2 linked regions of the Nothobranchius furzeri genome follow. The protein of the gene in region 1 interacts with the protein of each later gene in a pairwise test. Links are inferred from orthologs where the notes say so. Each region holds a gene or a part of one and is shown on either strand. Other genes may lie near its edges. The genes, in order: rap1gds1 and plekhb1.

The links.
Region 2: the proteins of rap1gds1 (region 1) and plekhb1 interact in binary tests that used the Homo sapiens proteins (3 or more experiments, as listed by UniProt). The two-hybrid records come from large-scale screens. The link is inferred for Nothobranchius furzeri from reciprocal best matches to the Homo sapiens genes RAP1GDS1 and PLEKHB1.

Annotation. Positions count from the first base shown.
Region 1 is NC_091743.1:87,833,893-87,845,485, forward strand, and holds the start of rap1gds1 (rap1 GTPase-GDP dissociation stimulator 1), read right to left. Parts: upstream 5,671-11,593; 5' UTR 5,454-5,670; coding exon 5,450-5,453; intron 1-5,449. UniProt on the Homo sapiens protein: Acts as a GEF (guanine nucleotide exchange factor) for the Rho family of small GTP-binding proteins (G proteins) that stimulates the dissociation of GDP to enable subsequent binding of GTP.
Region 2 is NC_091750.1:28,768,985-28,780,688, forward strand, and holds the start of plekhb1 (pleckstrin homology domain-containing family B member 1), read left to right. Parts: upstream 1-5,478; 5' UTR 5,479-5,586; coding exon 5,587-5,623; intron 5,624-7,320; coding exon of another isoform or gene 7,321-7,460; intron 7,461-7,550; coding exon of another isoform or gene 7,551-7,680; exon of another isoform or gene 7,681-7,691; intron 7,692-9,337; exon of another isoform or gene 9,338-9,407; intron 9,408-10,286; exon of another isoform or gene 10,287-10,399; intron 10,400-11,704. Other genes in the region: tubulin-specific chaperone cofactor E-like protein, read right to left, coding at 4,529-4,645, 4,756-4,882, 4,951-5,207, 5,291-5,472, 7,321-7,460, 7,551-7,680.

The sequences.
Region 1 (11,593 bases):
TTGGAGCTGATCCAGTTAATGTGGAGTCATTTTCTTGCACAGAAAATTTGCATTGAGCTTTTAATATTTATCAGTAATAATTGGGTCAGTTATTCCAAGCACCAAAAATAAAGGATTATTGTTTAAATTGATAGAAGTTGTTAATCGTGACAAATCATTAGTGGCAAAGTTGCTTCCCTTTAGTAAATGATTTTACGTTTCTCAAAGCATCTTTCCATTCATCATCAGTAATGTTGCAGTTAAGTTTCCTTTCCCACAATTCCTTCAAGGTTTCCCTAAATTGTGACATTTTGATGTATTGTAAAATGTGTGGGAAAAGTCCTTGTTTGAAACACTGAATTTTCTAATTGGTTGATTAAGTAAGGTCAGGGTTAAGTTTTCCAAAGAGATTTTGTGTTTTGGATATTCCTTTGTTAGTCCAACTTTTCCTGCCATTATTCTAGGTAAAAATAAAAAAAATCACCATTATCTCAAATTTGTTAAATGATGTTATCTTGTACTAATGGCACATATGTTTACTGAATTCTTCCGCTTCATGATGATGTGGTTTACTATAACATTAACATAATGGATTTAAATTGTATTGGTTTCTTTGTCTACATCTACCACATCTCATCTTTATAGTCCAATCTTTCAAGTCTTCAATTTCAAATAAATAAAAATGTGGTCTCATAGAAAACAAAGTTTTGGCTGGATTTAGCTGGAGTTTGACATATATTTGTATTTTAGCTGCAAACTGGGACAAGACTCTCTCCAATTCAGACAACCAGAGTGAAGTTAATGACTCAACCTTCCATCCTGCTGGGCCACCAGAGTCACCAATCAATGCTAATCCTGCAGGATCAAATGGTAAACATTGATCTTTGAAAGTAATAAATGCTTGTGTATGTATTTGGCTTATGTTAGGTAATTTCTCATTTGATGTTTTCAGACATCTTCCAGTGTGATGCACAGAATCCTGCGCAGACATCAGAACGGTGTTCTGTTCCAGTAGGACCTGGTGGTGTGCTTCTCATTTTGTAAAGGCTCTTTAAATTTAATTGAATTTTGCAGTCAGTCACTTGCAGATTCTGAATGCCATGAATGTTAAAGGTTGAGAGATATAAGCAACTGACTCAGACTTATTTAATTGACTTCCCACCAGACATTTCCCAGTCAAGAGCAGAGGGTCCTGTGATATTCTTCTGGTGTTTTTTCCACACACAAACATATTTTAACCTGATATTTGTGGCTTTGCAAAATAAATTGAATGCTAAAATTTCTCAAATGCTGTGTGTGGTTGTATTTTGTCAATGTACAGTAAAAATTGATGTACAATTGCATTGATGTTTTTCAACATGGTGTTGGGGTAAACTGTATCTACCATACAAAACTGGGAATAGTATGCAAGTATGTTGGACTGTTCGTGGCCCCTCTATAAATATTGTGGCCCCTTGATGGCCCCACCCTCAGAAAAATCCTAGATCCGCCACTGAGGTAAACTTGTTCAATTTGGGGTTAAAAACAAACGTTTTCACATATTTTCCATGTAGTTTTTTTTGCCAGTTCCTCTTCTGAAAGGTAGACAATTGTTTTTCTCTTTCCTTCAGAAAATCTTAATATTCTCCTAGTTTGGCCCAGCACAGTTCACTTCCCAGTTACAGCAACAGCCTTATATCATAACCACATAAGTGGAGAAAATGCTCAGTAGCAATGAGAGAATTTGCTGTTGCATTTAAGTGACGTTAACTATTATTTAACGTTTAAACTATTTATTCAAAAAACCCTGCTATGGGATGTTTTTCTGTATTTGGAGCATCAGAAAAAGTTTTATGGTGGAGGTGATGTTTTAAAGTCAATGAGAAACTGCATGCATGCAGTTTGTTGTTTTGCTGCTAATACAGTAGCAGGTGCAGCTGCAATAAAAATGTTATGTTGTAATGGAATTCATACATTAGTTTTTATTTGCTTTGAACCCAGAGCAGACGTCACACGCCAGACGACATCAACACTGCATACTTTAGTATTTGTTCATTTATCGTGAGTAATATCGATATCGCAATATTAAGCACTGTAATCGAATATCGGAGTTTTTCCTAATATCGTGCAGCCCTACAAAGGACTGTGCCATCTACGCCCTGAAGCGTAGACAATAAAGCATGTTAATATCAGCGCCAGCAGGGACTCCATGTCCCATGATCCTCTGCAGCCGGCAGCAGCTTGATGATGTCATCAAGTGACGCCAAGTCTGACACGCCCCGGTGGATACCGGCCCCTACAGAGACCGCCCGCTGGACGAGTCTATAAAGCTGAGGCGCAGAGCGGAACTCTTCCTCTTCCCGTCCAGTTCATCTGGTGTTAGGAGACACCCCCCCCCCCCCCCCCGCCCCCACTCCCACCCCGCCTCTGCTCTTACCGCTCCGGACAGCGTGTGCATGAGGCCTAGCTGCTGAGATCAACGGACCAACGCCATCTGATCTGCTCAGCCCGGACACAGACGGACGCCTTGTGTTCGTTCATTCAAGATTTTTTTTCCCTCTCTTTCTCTCCCGCTTCTCTAATAGTCCAAACAAGCGGTCGACCACGTGACTGCTTTAAATTAACAGACGGTCTCTCTCTTTCGTAATAAAAACGCCAACGGATTATCTCGAAGTAAGCTCCGTTCCTTTTATTGTTTAAAATCTAAGTTTGTTTATGCAGTGGCCAGGCTGACAGACTGTTTAGATATGTAATTTGCCTTTATGACTGATCTGTTGTTTTTTTTTTCTTGATCTTTGTGAAGCGATTTGAAGTGTTTTGATTAAGTTTACTGTGAACGTTTGTTCACACCGTCAAATACGCGTCTGACCAGGGTCCCACACCCACTGATCGTGCGTGTTTGGGAAGACAAGCTAAATTCCACACACACACACACAGTTTGATCCTTTGGTCAGCCAAACGAAGGATCCGCCATTTTGTTTTCAAAACTCCCTCCAGTTTGGTAATCAGCCTATCTCTGCCTGCTTACATCATCAAGCAGCCTCACCATTGCCTGATCACATAACCATCTCACCCCACCGGTCTGATTAGATTGTTACGTCACATCATCATTCCATGGTTTCATTGCCTGTTGTTTGTTTGATAAAATCGGTTGGTTGATATTGATTGGCTAGCGCTTTGAAGGAGCTAAGGTGATTATATTAGTCAATAAATGTTATTGCCAATTAAGTTGTCTCAAGTTAATTTGTCTGTGTTGGATAGAATATGACCGCTGCTCGTTAAAAGAATTTTACGAACTTTAGACAGATTGATAGAGGCTTGGATTCATTTTTCCCCTATAAAAAGGGGTTGTGCCCCTAGGCATATCAACGGATATCCTAATTACGTAATAAATCAGTAAATATTTCCATATTTACGAATTTTATTGATGAATCCAAAGAGTAAGTAAAGCTTACAAATTATTTGTTGGCTAATAACCACAACACTGGCCTGTTTAGGATTAACTCTTAGCTCGACAGACAGACATCAGAACAAATCTCTTGTTTCTAGAATCTAAAGTAACACAAACAAGTACGATGCTAACTATTCACATGAGCCCACTTTTAAACATCTGAATTTTCCAAATGAATGCAAAAGGTGACTTTTGTATAATATGACCCCTTAGAAGTCAGTTTATGGCCAGAACACAGTCTGAATGTTAGAATCACCATTAGGGATGTAAGAAAATATCGATATGGCAATATATCGTGATTTTTTTTCCAGCAATGTTAAATCGATATGCAAAAGCCGTGTATTTAATTCTTGAAAGAATTTACATGCAAACATTCGTGTATTTTCTTTTCGTTTTGTGCAATTCAATCACCACCCGCTAGTTGGCAGCAGTGTGCAACGGGTTTTGTTTCCACCATTGAAATGTAAAACCCTCCATCATGGTTCAGATACCTCATGTTAAACATGTTACGTATCAGTTTGGACTGTTATTGAACATTCTTACAATAAATTCAGTGAAAAAAATTGCTTGTAACGTCTGACTGAATGTATAGCAATACAGTAATCCCTCGTTTATCGCGGTAGATGCGTTCCAGACCTGGCCGCGATAGGTGAAAATCCGCGAAGTAGGGACTCCCAGCATGCCCCTCGCGGGGATTCCCTCCACGTCGCACCTACGTCACAAACCGCGGCTATAAACGGAAGTCGCCTTTCCAGCTCACCACTCAGTCATCGTTTCTTCAGATTCATGATCAGAGTTTCCAACCTACCGATCCATCCCATGAACTATCAGCTCATAGTAAGTTATCTTGCTTACTTCTGGAAAGCCCGGCATTTCCGTGTCACTTCGTTGACGCTCGAACGCTCGGGGGTTTCCTAGATCAGCCGGCGTTTCACCGACGCTATCACTTCCGCGTCTGTGAAACCACGCTCCCTATTGAATTATCGTATGATCACATTCTTTTTTTGTGGGTAAAACTCAAGAAAAAAATTTTTTTACTTGGTTTTTTTTAGTTTTATTACAAAAAGTGCATTTTATGATGAAATTGATGGAAAAAAACAAGAATTTCTTGATATTTCGCATAGAAAAATACCGCGAATCAGTGAAAAATACGGCGAATTCCCCCTGAAAAATGCTCCAAACAAAAAATCCGCGAAGCAGCGAATCCGCGATGAATGAACCGCGAAGTAGCGAGGGATTACTGTATATCGTGATATATCGTATTGTCTCCCCTGTATCGTGATATGTATCGTATCGCCAGAATTTCAAAAAATACACATCCCTGATCAACATGTTACCACTAACATGTAAATATTCAGTGGGAAAGCAGGGTAACCATTAAACACCCTAAGGATTGCAGACAGATGTCGGCTCCAGCCTTGTGGCCATCGGCACTTTCCTGTGAGACTGCTAGCATCAGGGCCAGATCTAACACAGAACTCACACACACTGTAGTGTGAATTAATAAAACCTGGTCAGGATGACTGTCCAGGAATGTCTCAGCCTGGGCTCAAGTGATCTGCTGGTTTCACCAGAAGGTGGCCTGTCTGATCCTATTGCATAACAGCTGTGCAGATGGAGTGCCATCTTCACCATCAGCAGCAGCTCGCTGCCATTTCACTGCATCTGCAGCAGCATCTTCTCCACCCCAGACCCTTCGCACCAGGGGGGCCCACTCGCGAAGAGCCAGCCTCCAGGAGAGCCGAGGAGGAGAACCGTGCGTGGAGTCGGGCAGGCTACCCCACCCGAGGGATGGGCGCGCGCGCGCATACATCCACGATGTGGTCACACTCGGCCCTTTAAAAACTCACGTTACAATGAATGAAAACGGAAATGAGTAACGGGAACTGTCAGGAACGGCTTTACTGGCACGATTGTGTCAATCAACTTCAACAAACCACCAGACACTGCATCATCTGATGGTTTTACACTTCATGCTTTTGGTAAATCTAATGAAAAAGCTCGCCTCTGAATGAACCGGATAGCCGGTTAACTACTCACCCATTTCAGCAGGGTGTTACTCCGGAAAACAAACCGGGGTGTCTGGGTATCTCCGTGAAACGCGTCGCACCAGCCGGAGGCCCCACTCGTCTGGTCTCCGGGGGAAGTTAGCGGGTTGTGGGAGCTAGCTATCGAGCAGCTGCAGCAAGCGGCCGGTTCGGTCGGACAGTACGGTTCTGAAACAGCGGGAACCACCAGGCTAACACACCGGACTCTCTCTCATGTCCGTGCTGACAGTCAGTGGTGGTCTGGCTGGCAGTTCCCGAAAAACTGGTTCAGTCAAACATGGCAGAATCAAGCTAGGAGACCGGACGGAGATGAAAACATCCGGTCAACACTTTCAAAATAAAGCAGCCAAAATGTGCGGTTGTTGACGCGCACAACCAGTGGATGGCAGTGTTCTCTAACTTCCCTCTGGGATTAATAAAGTATCTTTGAATTGAATTGAATTGAGGAAAGATGTCCAAAAGGGTTCAAATTCCTTTACAATTAATATAAAATAAGTTTGTTTCAGGGGCGGATGCTGGTTAACCCATTTGTCATTTAAATAAATAAAATCTAGAGTTCATTGTAATGTCATATTTGTCACATAAAGAGTGGGAAAAAAAGAAATGTCACACTTTATAAAAACGATGTGAGTGTTGTTGGAAAAACATGCATAAATGTGATAGGATCATACGTCATCCAGTAATGACTTATCAAAATAAAACAAATCAGAACAGGTTTCTGTAAAGAGTGTCTGCTGAATAAATGTAAATCTACAAAATCAGGATGTTGTGTTATGGTATCGAGGCTGCTGCATCCCAGCCACTGGTGATGGAGTCAGAAGCGTTGGAGCCATGAACACAGAAAAGAACAATCCGATTAAATCCACTTATTTCATCTGGAAAACTTCCAAAGACTGGATAAGTGCGTCGGTTTCCTCCTCAGCGTGCAGGTGAACCTTCAGTCAACATTAGATAAAAGCATTCTACAGCTGAAAGAAACGATGAAGTGTTCATCAGAGCCTTCCTGCTTAAATGCTGAGTTTGTTCTTTTCAAATGTTAGATCACATTTTTCTTTCGTCCTGATGGACTTCTTTTTAACTTTAACGCTCTGACAACCCGCAGAGCATGTTTTTGCTGTTTTTATTCTCTGTACAGGTGCCTGAGCCTCCATGCAGGAAGGGGGGGCTCGGGGGGGGGCTCCCCCCCTCCCCTCCCCACCATAAGAGGACCGCTACTCCTGCAGCAGCGCGGAGCTCCTCTCCTCCATCCTTCTCCTCCTCCTCCTCTGACTCGTCAGTTCGCTGGAGGCGCTTGTGTCTCTCTTTGGGAATCGTTGTGGATTCAGCGCATTTCTTCGTTTAATTTTTGAGGAATAAACGCAACACCGCTGACGCGATGAGCAACAAGGAGCGACGAGGCGTGAATTTCAAGCGCTTGCTGAGGAAGAATTGGCTTCTGATCGCCACGGTTGTGTCGGTGCTGCTCGGTATGTAGAAAGCTTTTGCTCTGAAACCCTCGCGTCTGGATCCGAACGCATCTCCATCTCTGTCCGTCTCAGACCACCGTGTTGAGCTGCGGGCAGGTTAGAATTAATTAGCATTTTCTGCAGCAGCTGGACTTCCTGTGGCCGTGGTTGGGTCTGTGTGGGAGGCATCTGTCCCGTCTGGACATGTCTCAGTCAAACGTGACCAGACTCAGGTCACAGCTGGGGTTGGTGTATGCGTCCCAGGATCACACACACACACACACACACACACACACACACACACACACACACACACACACACACACACACACACACACACACACACACACACAGGTTGTTTATGCCAGCATACTAACAGGCTGACCCTCTGCAGTGGTGTCATCGCTCCAGTTAGAGCCCCTCGCTGGTTAGTGGAGTGACTGAATGCGTATAATAAATACTAACATTTCAACATAGAACCAGTGTCCTAGTGCTGCAGTAGGTTAGCATCAACGAGATGGCTGCAGGTTCAACGCCTGGCTGCGACCTTCTACGTGGAGTGTTCGTTTTCCCCCCACAGACCTCAAATATGTCAGAGCAACTGGTAAACACTCCCCCAGGTGTGCATGTGTGTGTCCATAATTGTCCCGGCATGGACTGGCGATGGTCCTGGTTACCTGTCCAGGTGGATCCTGCCTCTCCTGCAGTGACAGAATAGAAATAGACTTACAGGTAAAGAAATAGAAACGTATTTCTAATCTCCAGTGTAACTGGGGAGATTATCTGAGACGTCACTGCTCCAATGTTTTGCTATTTCTGATTAAGGTTAAAACCTTTTTAATTATTGAGCTTTAATTAAAGTAGCTTTATTATTATTTTAGATGTTATTTCGAAGTGTTTAACTTCAAAATACTGTTTGAACTCATTTATTTTCACTAAAACGGTTTTAGGAGGTTAGACCAAATAAGCAGTTGCTTCAGCATTCCTACTTTAACACAAATGTTTTTGACTGTCCGTGTTCCAAATGCAAAAACAATAATAAACACTAGTAGACCAGAGCAGAAAGTTCAGCCAACAGACAGAAAAATCCCAGCCAGCGGTAGGACGTGTGGTTTAAACACATGTAAAAACAGGTAATAGCCTCCTGAGACCCTGTGTCTACATATGAGGACACTGGCTTCTTTATTCTTATTCTTTTTTTTATTTAGAAACATTTGATATTGATTTTAAGTAAAAAATATATTTTGTTTCAGTTTTTTTCTTTAATTTATTTTACATCCCACCAAATACAAATTCGGGTCTCAGGAGGATAGATAAATTCATCTTTGAGTTTGGAAGTTTTCTTCTTTCATCTCCCCTGATTTAGAAGCTTGATAGAAAACAACAACAACAAGCACACATTCTCCCCAAAAATCAATTCAAATTCAAAAATACTTTATTAATCCCAGAGGGAAATTGATTGCTGTAGTAGCTCAGAATAATAATAATAATCAAGTCAAAGAGTTGTTGATTATTACAATGGCTGTTGGCAGGAAGGATCTCCAGTAGCGGTCAGTGTTGCAGCCAAACTGAAGAAGCCTCTGACTGAAGACACTCTTCCGTTGTCGGACAGTCTTGTGAAGAGAATGCTCAGGGTTGTCCATCATTTTCTTGATTCTCTGGAGAATCCTTCTTTGCATTATCTCCTCCAGCGGTTCTGAAACTGCCGAAACTCTGGCTGAGTCCTTGAAAGGGCTTGGAGTTCCTCCATCTTGTTGGCCAGTGATCTCACGTTGCCCGTTATGATCGATGGAAGAGATGGTCTGAATTTCCTCTTTCTCTGTCTCCGTTTTGCTCCCGCTCTGCACCCACGCTTCTTGCGTTTTAGCTCATTTGGGATTTGTGGCTTCAGTTGAGGTATTATTTCAGCCTTTCCAATGTTAATCAGCTGCTCCCGGTTGTAAACCAGCTTGTTGCCATGGTTACACATCATAACAAATGCTCAAAAAGTGAAAAAAGCTAAAAAATAGCAGCAAAAATCCTCCAAGCTTCACAGCACCAGAAACAGAAAAGTAAAGTGTCCAAAAAAATACAGTTTTTCTTGAGAAACTAGAAGAAAAAATGACCAAGAAAAGGCAAAACTTACATATAGTCAACAGAGCTACTCCAACATTCAGCCACCCAGAGCAACGCGGTTCCGGAAAATAAATAAATAAATAAAAACAAGTAGTTTTTCAGTATTTGGTGAAGAAAACCCATAAATAAATAAAATTACAAAAATTAAATTGGGGTTTACTTACAATTTAAATGTAAGAAATCACAATTGTGTTTTATCTGATTTTGTTCATCTTCATTCACACAGAATCAAAATACAAACAATTCAGCTGTTGAGTAAAATCTTATGAATGAATGATCAATCTATTCAGTCAGTCATCTTAAGATAATGTGTACAATAACATGTCATACAAATAGATACAAATACCATTTCTCACTAACATATGCGTTCATTTGTATATGGTGTCTATTTGGTATCTCATGACTGAATAGGTTAAGGCAGAAGCAGTAGCTTATATAATTGTCTAACCTACTTACAAAACAATTTTTCTATTTCCCGCAATGAACCAACAACCCAAATAAAAATAAAACACAAATCCATCCATCAACATCAAATTAATACTCTTCAAAAATATTTTTACTGATAAGTTTTTTAAGAACTGAAAGAGAAGTTGCTAATTTTAATTCTATTTTAGCCTCGTTCCAAAATTTTACTCCCATTACAGAGATACATCTCCTTTTCATGCCCTTTTTGGCTTTTTGTAGAACAAACGTACCTCTTAACCACACCTCTTAAATCATAGTTACTTTCCCTCTTTACAAAAAACATTAGTTTATTTTCTGGCAGAGCCGTTAATTTTACTCTAAACATAAATTGCATTATTTTATAATAATATAGACCTTCTAATTTCATAATCTGTGATTTTAAAAACAACGGGTCAGTATGAGCATAATAATTGCTCTTGTTTATAACTCGAATAGATTTCTTTTGTATAGTTTTTATTTCATGTATATATGTTTTAAAAGTTGAACCCCATATTTCTATACAATATGCCATGTATGGTTGTATTAGTGAACAGTATATTAGACGTAAGGCCTTATGGTTTAGTATGTCCTTCAGCTTATATAATAGACCCAAAGATTTGGCAATTTTTCCTTTTATTTAATTTAAATGATGCTTCCAGGATTAGTTAGAGTCAATCACAACACCAATTAATTTTATTTCAGACACTCTTTCAATTTCAGTATCTGAAATTGTTCATTTAAAGTCTCAATTTTTTACCTTCTTATTTCCAAAAATCATAAATTTAGTCTTTTTTTATATTCAGTGATAGTTTATTTACATCAAACCAAGATTTGAGGATATTTAACTCTTTTTTGGCCTTCTTTAAAAGTTCTTTTACATCTTTACCTGAACAAACTAAATTTGTATCATCTGCAAACATTATAAATTTGAAAAAATCTGTCACGTTACATATGTAATTTATATATAAAGTAAATAATATTGGACCTATTACTGACCCTTGTGGAACTCCACAACTTATTTCTCTAAATCCAGATTTTATATCTTTAATTTTTACATACTGTTGTCCGCCGCCACGGCTGTGACGGGACCTACGGGCCACCGTAGAGGTGAAGGCTAGACTGTCCGAATTCAGAGCCGCTGGGTTCCGGTCTTAGCGGTCTAGCAAGGACCCGGCCTTGCTAGACTGGCGAGGACCCGTACTCATAAGCATCCTGCCCACAGATTCGGACACACCCATGGAGTACTGTACTTTGGCTGTCCTGCGCGCTTCGGCTGGGTCATTTTGGCCAGATTGTTATGTTAGGGTCTTAGGTAGATGTTGGAAAGTTCTTAGGAGACAGAAGTGGTTTAAACAGTTTGTTTGAAAGGAAGGTGGTAGTTGGTAGCTGTGGGAGATCGGGAACCTGGGAGCCAAGGATCTGCAAGGAAGAGGAAAGTAACTGATAACAGAACTTATGTAATTCCTGAAAAGGTGACCAGCTCACTAATTTGGTGAGGGAATTTGTACGCCAGGGAGAGTGGAGACAACACACGTAGTTTTAATCAATAGGTGATTCACAGGCATCTGAGGAACCTGATCAATAATGATCCAGTCGTTTAATACGGTGTGCTAGAGCAGGAGAACAGGACCTTCAGGACCAGAATGGAACGTCCCGTTTTAGGAGGAACTCGTGTTTAATATAGTTTTCAGCAGTGTTGGGAGTAATGCAGTACAAAAGTAATTAATTACTGTAATGCATTGCTTTTTGCTGTAATGTGGTAATGTAAGGCATTACAGGGAAAGAAAATGGTAATATTTACTCGGTACAATTGTCAGTAACGCGGTAATTACAATGCATTTTTAAACCCAGAATCAAGATGTGTTCCTTAAAAATTCAAATTGCGGGAAGCCTGAAGAAAGATCCAGTATCTGCATATATGACATCATTTATGGACTCAGCTTTGCAGGTAGAGAGGACGCAGCAGTAACGGCTCAGCTACTCCAGCGGCATCCTCCACGCGGCCGCTGTAACATTCACAAAATCGCTCCACTAAAACAAAATAATTCACTTGCGATCGTTCATATCAGCGCATATTCTCTGGTATTTTGTACTTTTCTGACGTGCTTTGCCTCAGCTGAGTTAATCTGGGC
Region 2 (11,704 bases), on another chromosome or scaffold:
ATGTTGCTCCTTAAATGCTTGATAAGCCAGCATCAACACAAAAGGATTCAAGCAGCAGCCCTCAAACCCAGGATGGCCCGTTACACAGAGGAGATGTGGTTCTGGTGGGTCCAGAATCAACAAGAACTCCCTGAATGGTTCCAGTTCCTGTGAATAATGCTGTCCATTGGCCCACGCTGGCCACACCCACGCCTAAATAAGCAAATGAAATGAGAGAATGATCATGACAGAAAACTTTATCCCACAGAGCATTACATTATGACCAGTGTCTGTCATTCATACAGCACAGTAAGTTACTTATTGTTAAAATGTCTACTTAAGTAAAGCTACAGTAGGTCACAGTTTTAAGGTGGAGACTTTGTGGGACATCAGATCTGCAACGTTTCATTTGTACAACCAGAATCCCAGACTGTATGAAAAGGTTTGTGGAGGGATCATGAGTAACGTCATCAGCCTAGAATCTTTCTGCTGAATCACGAGGATATTTTACATGGGTGGCTTCCCAGGCTAGGCTAATGTAATAACCGCTAATGAAACAAAGCTAATTTAACAAAGGGGTGCTAGGGCTATGAAGAACTTTGATCCAAACGAACCATTTTTAATTTGAGTTTAGTAATTCTTTAAGTTATGTGGCTAGGTATTTGATGTAATCTGTCAGACGGCATTTTCTGTCGAAATATCTTTAAAAATAAAACATGCTCTTACCAGTTAGCATCTCCAAGTCGGTGTCCATGTTGAAGTTCCCACGTTTCTACAGCTCTTCTTTCACCATTTAAATGACCTCTGCGTTGCCCGTTCTCATCCCCTCTTGCTGCTGGTTCAAACCTGTATGGCTGTGCACCTTCAGTATTATAAATAACTGTAAATTCGTGTTCAAATTCTGGCGCCTCATCCTGCTGCTGTGAATCCACTGCTTAGTAGAGTCGGAAATGTTTTCCCTCCGTGCGCATCACTTCCGGTTTCCAGCTAGAGGTGCCGTTTTAAACCGGATTAGCTAGGTAAGCAGAGCTGGATCATTAATAACTCGTTTTACTTTCAAATATCTTCCTTTTATTCAATGAAAATATAAAGTTTAGGCATATTACTATACAAGCACTTCAACATGTGTTTAAAATGAAAGATGGCCTTTAAATAGTAATTAATCAAACAACGCGTGGTTCAGTATTTGTACTGAAATCCAGTTGGATTTAATTCCATTACATAATATAAAAGCCTTAAACAACGAATTTCAACTACTTGAATTTGCCCGTTTTCTTTCCAGTCTGGGTGTTTCAGAGTCCGAAAACCCCTAGACTGTCTGCTTCTCGCTTGCCGTGAGAAAGCCCTTGGCCACCTCGGGGGAATACACGCTCGAGATAAGTATCCAGGTACGATTAAATACAATCCAGGGGAAAAGGGACTGTGCTTTCAAAGCCACTGTAACAGCTGGGCCAATCAAAGCAGTCTACCTTCCCTCTAAAAACACGTCCACAAAGCCCGTCCCCTGGACACGGAGCTGCTGGCCAAAACTTGTGGAGCACTGTGGGAATTCTCCTCCAAGGCCACAGTGCACAAAACGCCATTATAGAGGAGCCCTTGGACGACAGTGAGGGGCTTCATTTAAGGCGGTAATGGGACAAACGACATGTCATCGTTCTCATTTCAGCAGGAAAACCAGGGTTCTGGAATCTGTTCAGATTTAAGCTGAAATCTTTACTCATTTTCTCTGTTAAAATGTCCAATTCCCCACACGGGCCTGAAATCTAGATCATCTTTAAAGCGTTTAATGACACTCATGATCCGACGGATGTTTTGGGGCCACTTTGAACTGAAAACCATTTCTCTGTGCTCACCTGAGAGGTCGTGACCCCCAGAGCATCAAGGCCACATCAGAAGAGGAAAGGGGATAGGCGCGTATTCACTTCTAACCGAGCGTGTCCGACACCCCCCATAACATCCCACACGCAGTCACGCCAATCCCTGACCTCTGACCCGCCCGAGGAACCCAGCATCAAACTGGGACCACAGACACCTGCATTCATAAACGTGATGGAAAAGAGAGTCAAAAGGAGAGAAGCTGATGGGGATGAGGGAACGTTAAAACGCGTTAAACCAGCTGATAACGCAAAACCCCCAAAAATCAATCTGTCAGCTTAATGCTTGAGGTTGGTAGGGTAGGTGTGTTTAAATATATATTTAAATAAAGCTACCTGCTGTATCGGTTTTCCAATCAGAGAATTCCCAGAACAAAGGGTTCATTGAGCAGTGAGAGAGTGGTGGCATTGTCTCTCAAAGGTTAGTCCCCCCCCCCCCCCCCTGCCAGGGCCTACACCTTCCTTCAGAAACCCCCCCAGACACTCTGCCAGGGTTAAGTGGAATGCAGTCGACGACAGAGAGCGAAGGCGATTATTGGGAAGCAGCGGGGTCATTCCAAAATTTATTCCACATTCTTTAAATGTGCCGGAGACACTGTAGCTATTGTTGCACGCCGACAGGTGCTCGTCGGAGTCGGAGCAGATGTTTTTCACCTGCGCTGCCCGTTTCTGGATCCTGGCTCACGAGGTTTCATCGTCCTACAGCGCTAGCATCAGTCCTGTGGAGGCACTCGTGTTGAAACGTGCAAATGCAGAACACTTTTTAATGACACGATAATTTCTACCACATGAATGATGTTGATTTTACCAAATAAACATGCTGAGGGTTTGATTTGAATTGAACTTTTTCCTCTAAATTACAGCTTAAACTATTTAAAGATAAAATAAACCAAACTGAAATAAAGTGGTTAAAAAATGTTCAACTTAGCGCGGGTGGACTCAGGCTCTGCACACACGTAGCCGAGTATCCCACAAAACAACGATATTTTTATTAAATTTGGTCCGTCATCCACGAGAGTAAAGTACGGTGGCCCTGAAGTGCAAACCACAAAATCAAATCACTAAACGAACAACAAATTGAAAAGCACAACAACAAATTCACTAAACACAAAACCAAATAGAAAACCACAAAAACAAAACCCAAACCGGAAAAGGAAGGTACCAACGCTGCAACAACAGCATCACTGACTGGATGATGGATCCGTTGGCCTTTTGAACCGGAAGTTGTTCTGCCGAACGTGTTTTTTTTTAAACTTTATTTAACAAACAAAGAGTATACAACAGTGTCCGAATCATCGACATACATGTGTGCGAATCCACGGGAAGGATGCTTACGAGTACGGGTCCTTGCCAGACCGCTAAGACCGGAACCAGCGGCTCTGAATTCGGACAGTCTAGCCTTCACCTCTACGGTGGCCCGTAGGTCCCGTCACAGCCGCGGCGGCAGCTACACGCAAAGGAAAAATGCTAAAGCTAGCGAAAATGGAGCAGGAATATTAAGGAGCTGCAGCAGCTTCACGTCCATCGGCAGCGTTTGTTCACAACCGTTTTCAGGTAAAGTAACTTTGTTTATTCTAGAAGCTTTCAGGACTTACATGCTAACTTTAGATGGCTTCATGTATGTTTTAAGCTACAGAATGAACTTGTTAAACGTACACAACACATTACTACAGAGTATTATCATGTAGGTAAAAAAAAACACACGTTCGGCAGAACAACTTCCGGTTCAAAAGGCCAACGGATCCATCATCCAATCAGTGATGCCCGTTGTTGCAGCATTGGTACCTTCCTTTTCCGGTTTGGGTTTTGTTTTTGTGATTTGCACTTCAGGGCCACCGTAGTAAAGTTAAACACCATCAAAAACTATTCTTTCAAAAACTCCAACCGAAGCAGAAATTTGTGGATTCTCCTTCGTCAGCATTTGCTTGTGGACGTAAATAACCGAGGTTGTCGGTTTGGCAAAGTCACTGCCCACAAAAACAATTTCAACCCTAGCTTTTTCTTCCAGATTGGTGGTGAGGGGTATTTGGTTTTACACAATAAAAATAAAAAACAGCTACGTGTGTGCCCGGCCTCAAACGGTCATAAAACTGTTCTTGTGGAAAAATATGAATTGTGATAAAAAAGAGCAATTTTAACACTCCGCTTCCACAAACGGACGTTTTATATCTTCACTGTGCTCGCTTGTCTAAAACTTGATTGGTTACCTGAAACAGAGCTAGAGGTCGACCGATATACGAGTTTTATCAACTGCCGATTTTTAGGGGTCGATTTTCACGGCCTACATCTAGATATTTTCCACCTTAATTTCACACTAAAATGTCATTAATAACATCGGTTTATGCACAAAATGCCTGAAGCCGAATCAGTTTTTGAACTCCGAACTGTTAAATCTCAACTTTGTGCACTGCTCAGTGTAAAAATCAGACACCTAAATAAAGTTAATTTAGAGTAGTTGTTATGCAGATGGTATTAGTCAACGTAAAAATACATTTAAATTAAATTCAGCAACAGCACAGGGCTGCCCGAGGATGTGCATGACTTAAATCGGTCTTACTAAGGATACATATCAGCCGATGTATAAAACTTGGTAGATATTGGCCGACCGATATGGGTCAACCCCTAAAACGGAATCAAAGCCTGCAGTGATTCAACAGTAACTATGAAGAGCTTACCTCTGAGGAAGCTCCGGTTCTGGACAGTCCTGATAGTATCGGATGAAGAACCTTTCAGCGTCCTCCCTCTCACCACGAGACACCGCACTCCCATTCAAAACCATCACAGATGGCAGCCTGGGGGTGGGAGAAAAGGTCCCACGGGTTCATCAAATATTTAGATCATTAAATACTTAATGAAACGATCTGCTCCTGCATGAAGACGAAGCTTGTGGAGGCGGTCTTACTGTGCTAAGAGGAGGCTCCGTCTCTCCTGGCTGCTGTAGGACTGTAATAACGGAATCCCCTGTGCTTTCACCTCCTCCAGTTTAGGAAAAAAGGTCAGTTTTTCTATGTCTTCCCATTTACTAAGCCCTGGGTTTATATAAATCACAGTCAGTTTGTATCTTAATGCAAACAATTATTTAAATCTACAATCCAACCTGAGTTGTTAAGGTTGATGCTGCGAAGGTTGGGGAATAGATGCTCCAGTGTTTCCTTGGTATCTTCCACAGAGTTTATGCTGTTATTGGCCAGAACCAGCGTACTCAGTCTGGGATACAGCCGCCCAAACTTCCTGACTTCTGCCCAGTCCTGCAGCTGGTTGTCTGTGATCTGTAGGAGGCTGAGAGACGAGCAGGATGCCCGGGACTCTGACACGGTGTTGTAGCCATTCAGGCAGAGGAACAGCTCCTTCAGCCTGCAAACGAGGCGGCGGAGTGAAAAACGGAGCAGGAAATGCACACAAACTTCCCCAACGTCAGATCTGAGGCGTTCACTTACTCTGGTGTGTGCTGAGTCAGCGTATGAACGGTGTCCCAGCTGACTCGTGTGTTGATGAGGACGAGTCGTCGGACTCTGAAGAAGACGTCGGCCATGCTGGGCTCCAAATGCACGCTGCTCAGGGGGTTCATGCTTAGGTTGAGGAAGTCGAGTTGAGGGATGTTGGAGACAATTGTGCTGATCTGTCGAAACCACGGACATCTTAGAACGCAGCAGCAGCGGACCACGTGACCTGGTTCTGCGCCGATACCGTGAGGATTCAGACAGCGCGGACACCAGTTCTGCTTCACCGCTACATGGATTTCATCCATGTTAGCCGCTTCTACTACTCAGGTGAGAGCAGGGCACCACGCTACGTATTTTCGTATCAGCATGTGACCTTAGTCTTAGACCGATACCTGATGCTGGCTTTAGTGTATCCCTGATATTTTTTATTCCCCAACACAAAAAGCAGACCAGAGTTGTTCTATAAGATGCTGGAGCATCGACACCACCCTGCAAGTGCGTGAGATAGTCACACTGCAGGTCTTGCAAGGGGGGGGGGGGCAGTTTTTCTCCTTTTAAAAGAACCAGAGGGACGTAGTTACTGTGAGCCCGTGAGGTTGCCGCTGCGGCGTTGGCGTTTCTAATTCAACACCAGCAGGCAAAAAGCTCCAGAGTGGTTTAAAGAACCAAAATCAGTAAATAGGAGCGACCCAGAAGTTATTTCTGCCTCCCTAAGAAGCTAAAATATCTTTTTGTTTTACTCCAATATCCGGTGAAGCAGGCTAGAGGCTAACGTTGAGCTAACAATGCTAACGGTGAATTAGAAGTAAGCAGTCAGCTCCAAGTCGTTCAGAACAACAGCAGCAAGCTAACAGCAAGACGACAACCAACCACACTTCTTCTAATCTCACACATATTACCGTAATAAGTGTAGTTAGTTCTCCCTACCGGTCCGTTAAACACCAAAGAGTGCCAACACCAGCTATGGCAATGTATTCATCTACTCATGAACTTACCGAGTATGACTCGTTTTCACTTCTAGAAACTTCTGACGTGGACCTGTAACTGGCAACGGCCATGAAACTCACACAAAGGCAGGGGGAAAGTGATTATTTGGCTTAGAAAAATGGACTGCAGTAACCAAATTTGACCACAGGATGTCCTTCTTACTCCATTCTTATACAACATACGCTGTTGATCAAAGGTTTTTAACAATTATGAGGATGCTAACGGATGTTCTGATGAAAATTTTGCAAGGAGGAAACGTGTGAAGGAAACTCGGCAGATCTTCAAATTTTATGCAGTTCTGTAAGACTGGTGCTGTGGACCAGTTATTTTATTAGAGGGCATTAATTGGACCCGTATGAACGTAAAAAGATCGTTTTATTTGAGACCGCTCTTTCCTGTCAAAGGCGTGAGCCTTAGAACAGTTTGTCTGATGTTCTTTTGCATTTCTGAGTAGTTTGACAAAAGCTTTTAGTGCGTCTACAGTTTTCATTTTAATCATGTTGAAAAAAAAATGCCGATTTAATCCAGAGTGTAATTTATCTCCTGGTTAAAGACCAATAGGTTACTCATCAACCAGAAGGCAGGAGTGCAGCAGAACTTTAAGTATTTTAAGTCATTTGCTGAACAATCCTGCATTTTTTAACATCGTGCAGCATTGATGCAAAAGAAGTGCCTCCCCTTTCGTTATCGAGGTCTCATTTGCTGCATGGAATCCAGTTCCTCATCATGGATATTAGTGTCAGCAGCGTTAAAGCCGTCGACCCTTCTTGTTAACAGAAAAGCATCGATCTTCCAGCCTTCGGTTCGATAACCTGTGTACTTACAGGAGAAGCAGCTTGAACCACTCTGGTCTGACCCAACACTGTGGACACAGCATGGTCCATTCTGGTTGGCTCACAGACTAAAGCTATCGTTTAACAGAAAAGCTCCCCCTCAGAAGTAAAACATGACAGGAGTTAGAGCCACTAAACATTTTAAGTTGTAGAAATAAGCCTGATGTCATGGACTCGTCCATAGAGTGGCAGGAGGACACCCACCTCTCCCCAGTCGTTGAGCTGATTGTGGGACAAGTCCAGCTCCAACACGTGACCACAGAAAGCTGCGATGTCCGACCGGTCGCCGGCCTTACTAATCCCACAGTTGTTCAGAACCAGAAAGCTGGGCAGGAAGAGGCGATCTGCAGCAAAGGGGAACTCTAGTCAGTTCAACCGGACTCCAACAGGCGGCGAATGTCGAAAACGCCAGTCGATGGGTGGACGCCTCTCACCTTTAACGGGGGACCCTGGAGGGCTGGGCAGGACCACGACCCCCTGGCCATAAGGGAAGTTCTCTGGGTTGTACTTCTCACTGATGACTTGGACAAAAGTGCGCGACTCCTCTTCGTCAGAGGAATCCATGGTTCTGTAAGCTAAGCATCAACAGGAAGAGACGAAGAAAAAGCTTTTCAGACACTTTCTAGTAGGGATGTAAGAAAATATCGATATGGCAATATATCGTGATATTTTCCCCAACAATATTATATCGATATTCAAAAGACGTGTATCGGAAATATCGATATGGCAATATATTGTGATATTTTTTCCTGCGATTATTACAGCGATATTCAAAAGCCGTGTATCTAATTCCTGAAAGAATTTACATGCAAACATTTGTGTATTTTCTTTTTGTTTTGCACAATTCAATCGCCACCCTCTAGTTGGCAGCAGTGTGCAGCGGGTTTTGTTTCCACCACTCAAATGTAAATCCCTCCATCATGGTTCAGATACCTCATGTTAAACATGTTACGTATCAGCTTGGACTGTTTATTGAACATTCTTACAATAAATTCAGTAAAAAAAATTGCTTGTTACGTCTGACTGAATGTATCGCAATATATCGTGATATATCGTATCGTCTCCCCTGTATCGTGATATGTATCGTATCGCCAGAATTTCAAAAATACACATCCCTGCTTACTAGTTTCTTCAGTTTGAACAGTTTTTCTGTTCTGATCCTCCGCAGCACTCAACCATAAACCCGTCTGATCCAGCTCAGTGTCACAAATTAGAACAAGGTAGATTTGTGACCCAAAACAAACACACGTGAACACACACTGGTTTTTCATGCATCCTGCAGCAGTAGAATCAACTCAAACCCACTCAGTGTCTGCGTTCTGATAAAGAAGGAACATGTCAACCACGGAAAATGTGCAGCTCACTGATATGATTTCATAAGTTTCTGAGGAACCGTGGAGGTCTTTACTACCGAGAAACAAGCTGCAACACAGAAAACTCACAAATGAGCTGCTCCTTCATGGAATCAGCCCAAACTGATCAGTATTTATACTTTTATCCTACACAAAAGACACGTGCAGACACCTCTGCATCCTTCAGGTAAACCGAAACACCCACCCACTTCCTACATGAGCCTTCTCTGCTCTCATAGTTACGATTCTCCTGTCATTTACAGAGCTGGTTTATGAATGCATCTTTGACCTTTTTCCAACTAAAGTACATGTCCTATCGCACAATACTGGCCAATTTATCAAGTTTCCCTGCAGGTCAAAGATTATGCCAACAAACAGCCTTCTATATGACTTATTAGAAGCCGCCGTGAAGAGGGTTGCGCCCTGCGAGTGCACGGTCGATCCCCAACACAAGGCAAAACCTTCAGCTGCAAGAAAATAAAATATAAATCCAAAACACTGCAAAGGTTTCAACACCCAGCAAGTCTACATCTGCATTTTAACTCAACTAAATGTATTTATGAGTCATTTGAACCACTGGAATACAATCAGGAAGGTCATTTAAGGAAAATAACTTTAAATACACGCACTTAAACACCTTTTGAGACCGTTTATAGTGTAGAAAACCCTAAAAATGCAAGTTACTATTAATTTGTTCAGGTTTTACACATGCTGTATCCATTCATTTAGATTTACAATATTTTGTAATTCACCCCGACTTTGGCCCCTTGTTGACTCTGACAAGACCTAGAAGTTTCTGATCATTTTAAATTCAGTCCATCTGGACTCTTCCTGATATTTCTGTCAAAGTTTCCATCCCCAGTTCGTACCTGCTGTGTTGCAGAGACCAAAGGAAAGGTTGTTTTCAGCAGCAAATCATATCAGAGGTCTCCATCACTGCTGAGGAAAAAACAAAAACACACTAGGGCAAAAGAAAGCTCAGACTTTACAAAGCAAACCAGCGAAACCTGCATTACAAGGCAGACAACAACAAAGCCAAGTGACATCTGTGCTCCTGCACCTACAAGATGTTAGTCTAGACAAAGGCACTTGTCAGAAATCTGAGATGTGATCTACCGGTTAAATAGTAAATTAAAACAAACAAAACTTGATCAAGTTGCATTTTTCTGTTTAAAAATGATTTTAAACAGCACAGTTATGAAACTAGAAAATGTAAGGTGCCACAAAACCGTCTTTAGTCCCATTTATCACAAAAAAGGCAGGAAGTCATTCCCTCGTTAAAACTTATTCTTTAATCATGCTCTCTACTGCCCACTGCTGAGCAGTTGTGGGACTGCAGGGAATTTTTGTTTTCTTTTTGTAAAAACAACAACAACAGACCTCGACTGATAAATAAACCCGATTAAAACTCCAGTCGACACCAGAACATAAAGCTCATAAATGTCGCTGCAACATTTGAATGCATTTCATTAAAAGCTAATTCGTGTTGAAACGCGTTATTTTTAAACGGGTAAAGGCGAACACGAGTGCAGGACAACCAGCGCAGCTCGGGGGCTTAGCAGAGCAGGCTGGACAAAAGCCTGGGAGAAAATATTTTAGACTAACATGTTAATGGTGTTAAATGTGTATTTTTACAGTAAAGTCCAATGGAAACGACGACCTTGAAGCGTGTCTGAAAACAGCATTTCACGTTCAGCCCCGAAAAGCTAAAACCGTACGGTGGCGGCTGGAGGCGAGTCGTTTTCCGGACATTCACACTTAAAGTTTTGTTTATATTTGAAGGTCTAAGACGGGAACTTCTGTAACCGCCGTACTCACCAACCCCGGAACGCTGTCGTCGTTCAGTTTGTTGTTGTTTTTCTTCGGTTAGAGTGACAGCTTAAATACGCCCACTCTACCGGACGTGACGTAGTTTAAAAGTCTTCTGGCTAAAAGGTAACAAAAGGGTCATAAATAATAATAATAATTATATATATAAATATATATTTGCCATAAATCAAAAAGAAGAAAATCATAACTGAATCTTATATTGTTTGTGGCAATGTCAAATAAGCTTAGCGGTTTTGGAAAATGTATTCAATTTAATATAAATGTCAATTTAAAGTTAAAATTATAATAAAACCGAAAAATACTATTGAGCATATTATCTTTAATTTTATTTTAAATAAGTAAATAACTTAAGTTAAACAGTACAGACTGAAGTTACCACATTTGGCCATGAGGTGACAGTTTTGAATTCACGATCAATTGAACATTGGTTCTTTGAATTAAAATTTTACAAGTTATTATTGATTATTTTCCATAAATTAAACTGTGTATCTCGGGGTCTTGTTCAGGAGTGAGGGAAAACTGGAGCGTGAGATCGACAGGCGGATTGGTGCTGCATCTGCAGTGATGCGGGCGTTGTACCGGTGTGTCGTGGTGAGGAGAGAGCTGAGCCAGAAGGTGAAGCTCTCGATTTACCGGTGGATCTACGTTCCTACCCTCACCTATGGTCATGAGCTTTGGGTAGTGACCGAAAGAACGAGAACGCGGATACAAGCGGCCGAAATGAGTTTTCTCCAAAGAGTGGCTGGGCTCTCCCTTAGAGATAGGGTGAGAAGCTTGGTCATCCGGGAGGGGCTCGGAGTAGAGCCGCTGCTCCTCCACATCGAGAGGAGCCAGTTGAGGTGGCTCGGGCATCTGGTCAGGATGCCTCCTGGACGTCTCCCTGGTGAGGTTTTCCAGGCACGTCCAACTGAGAGGAGGCCTAAAGGTAGACCCAGGACACGGTGGAGGGACTATATCTCACGGCTGGCCAGGGAACGCCTTAGGATTCCCTCCGAGGAGCTGGTCCAAGTGGCTGGGCAGAGGGAAGTCTGGGCCTCCCTGCTTAGGCTGCTGCCCCCATGACCCGACCCTGAATAAGCGGCAGAAAATGAACGGATGGATGTGACTTTAATCCATCAAAGTAAGTTTTGGTGTCATCTCATGAAAATAAAGAACTCTCATGATTACATTGAGAACATTTCTTCTGCGTTTATAATTTCAGACATATTTTAGCTGTGATAGAGATCACAGGTTACAAAAATCAATAAAAACACGTAACCAGGAGGAAGAAAATGTTCCACCGAAGCAATCAGGTGACTCAGGTAACCCAGAACAAACCAGCACTTTCTAAAAAGAGATGATGTCACCTGCAGCCAATCTGGGGAAACTTTCATGATCGACCTGAGGACTGTTGGGCTAATCCTAGC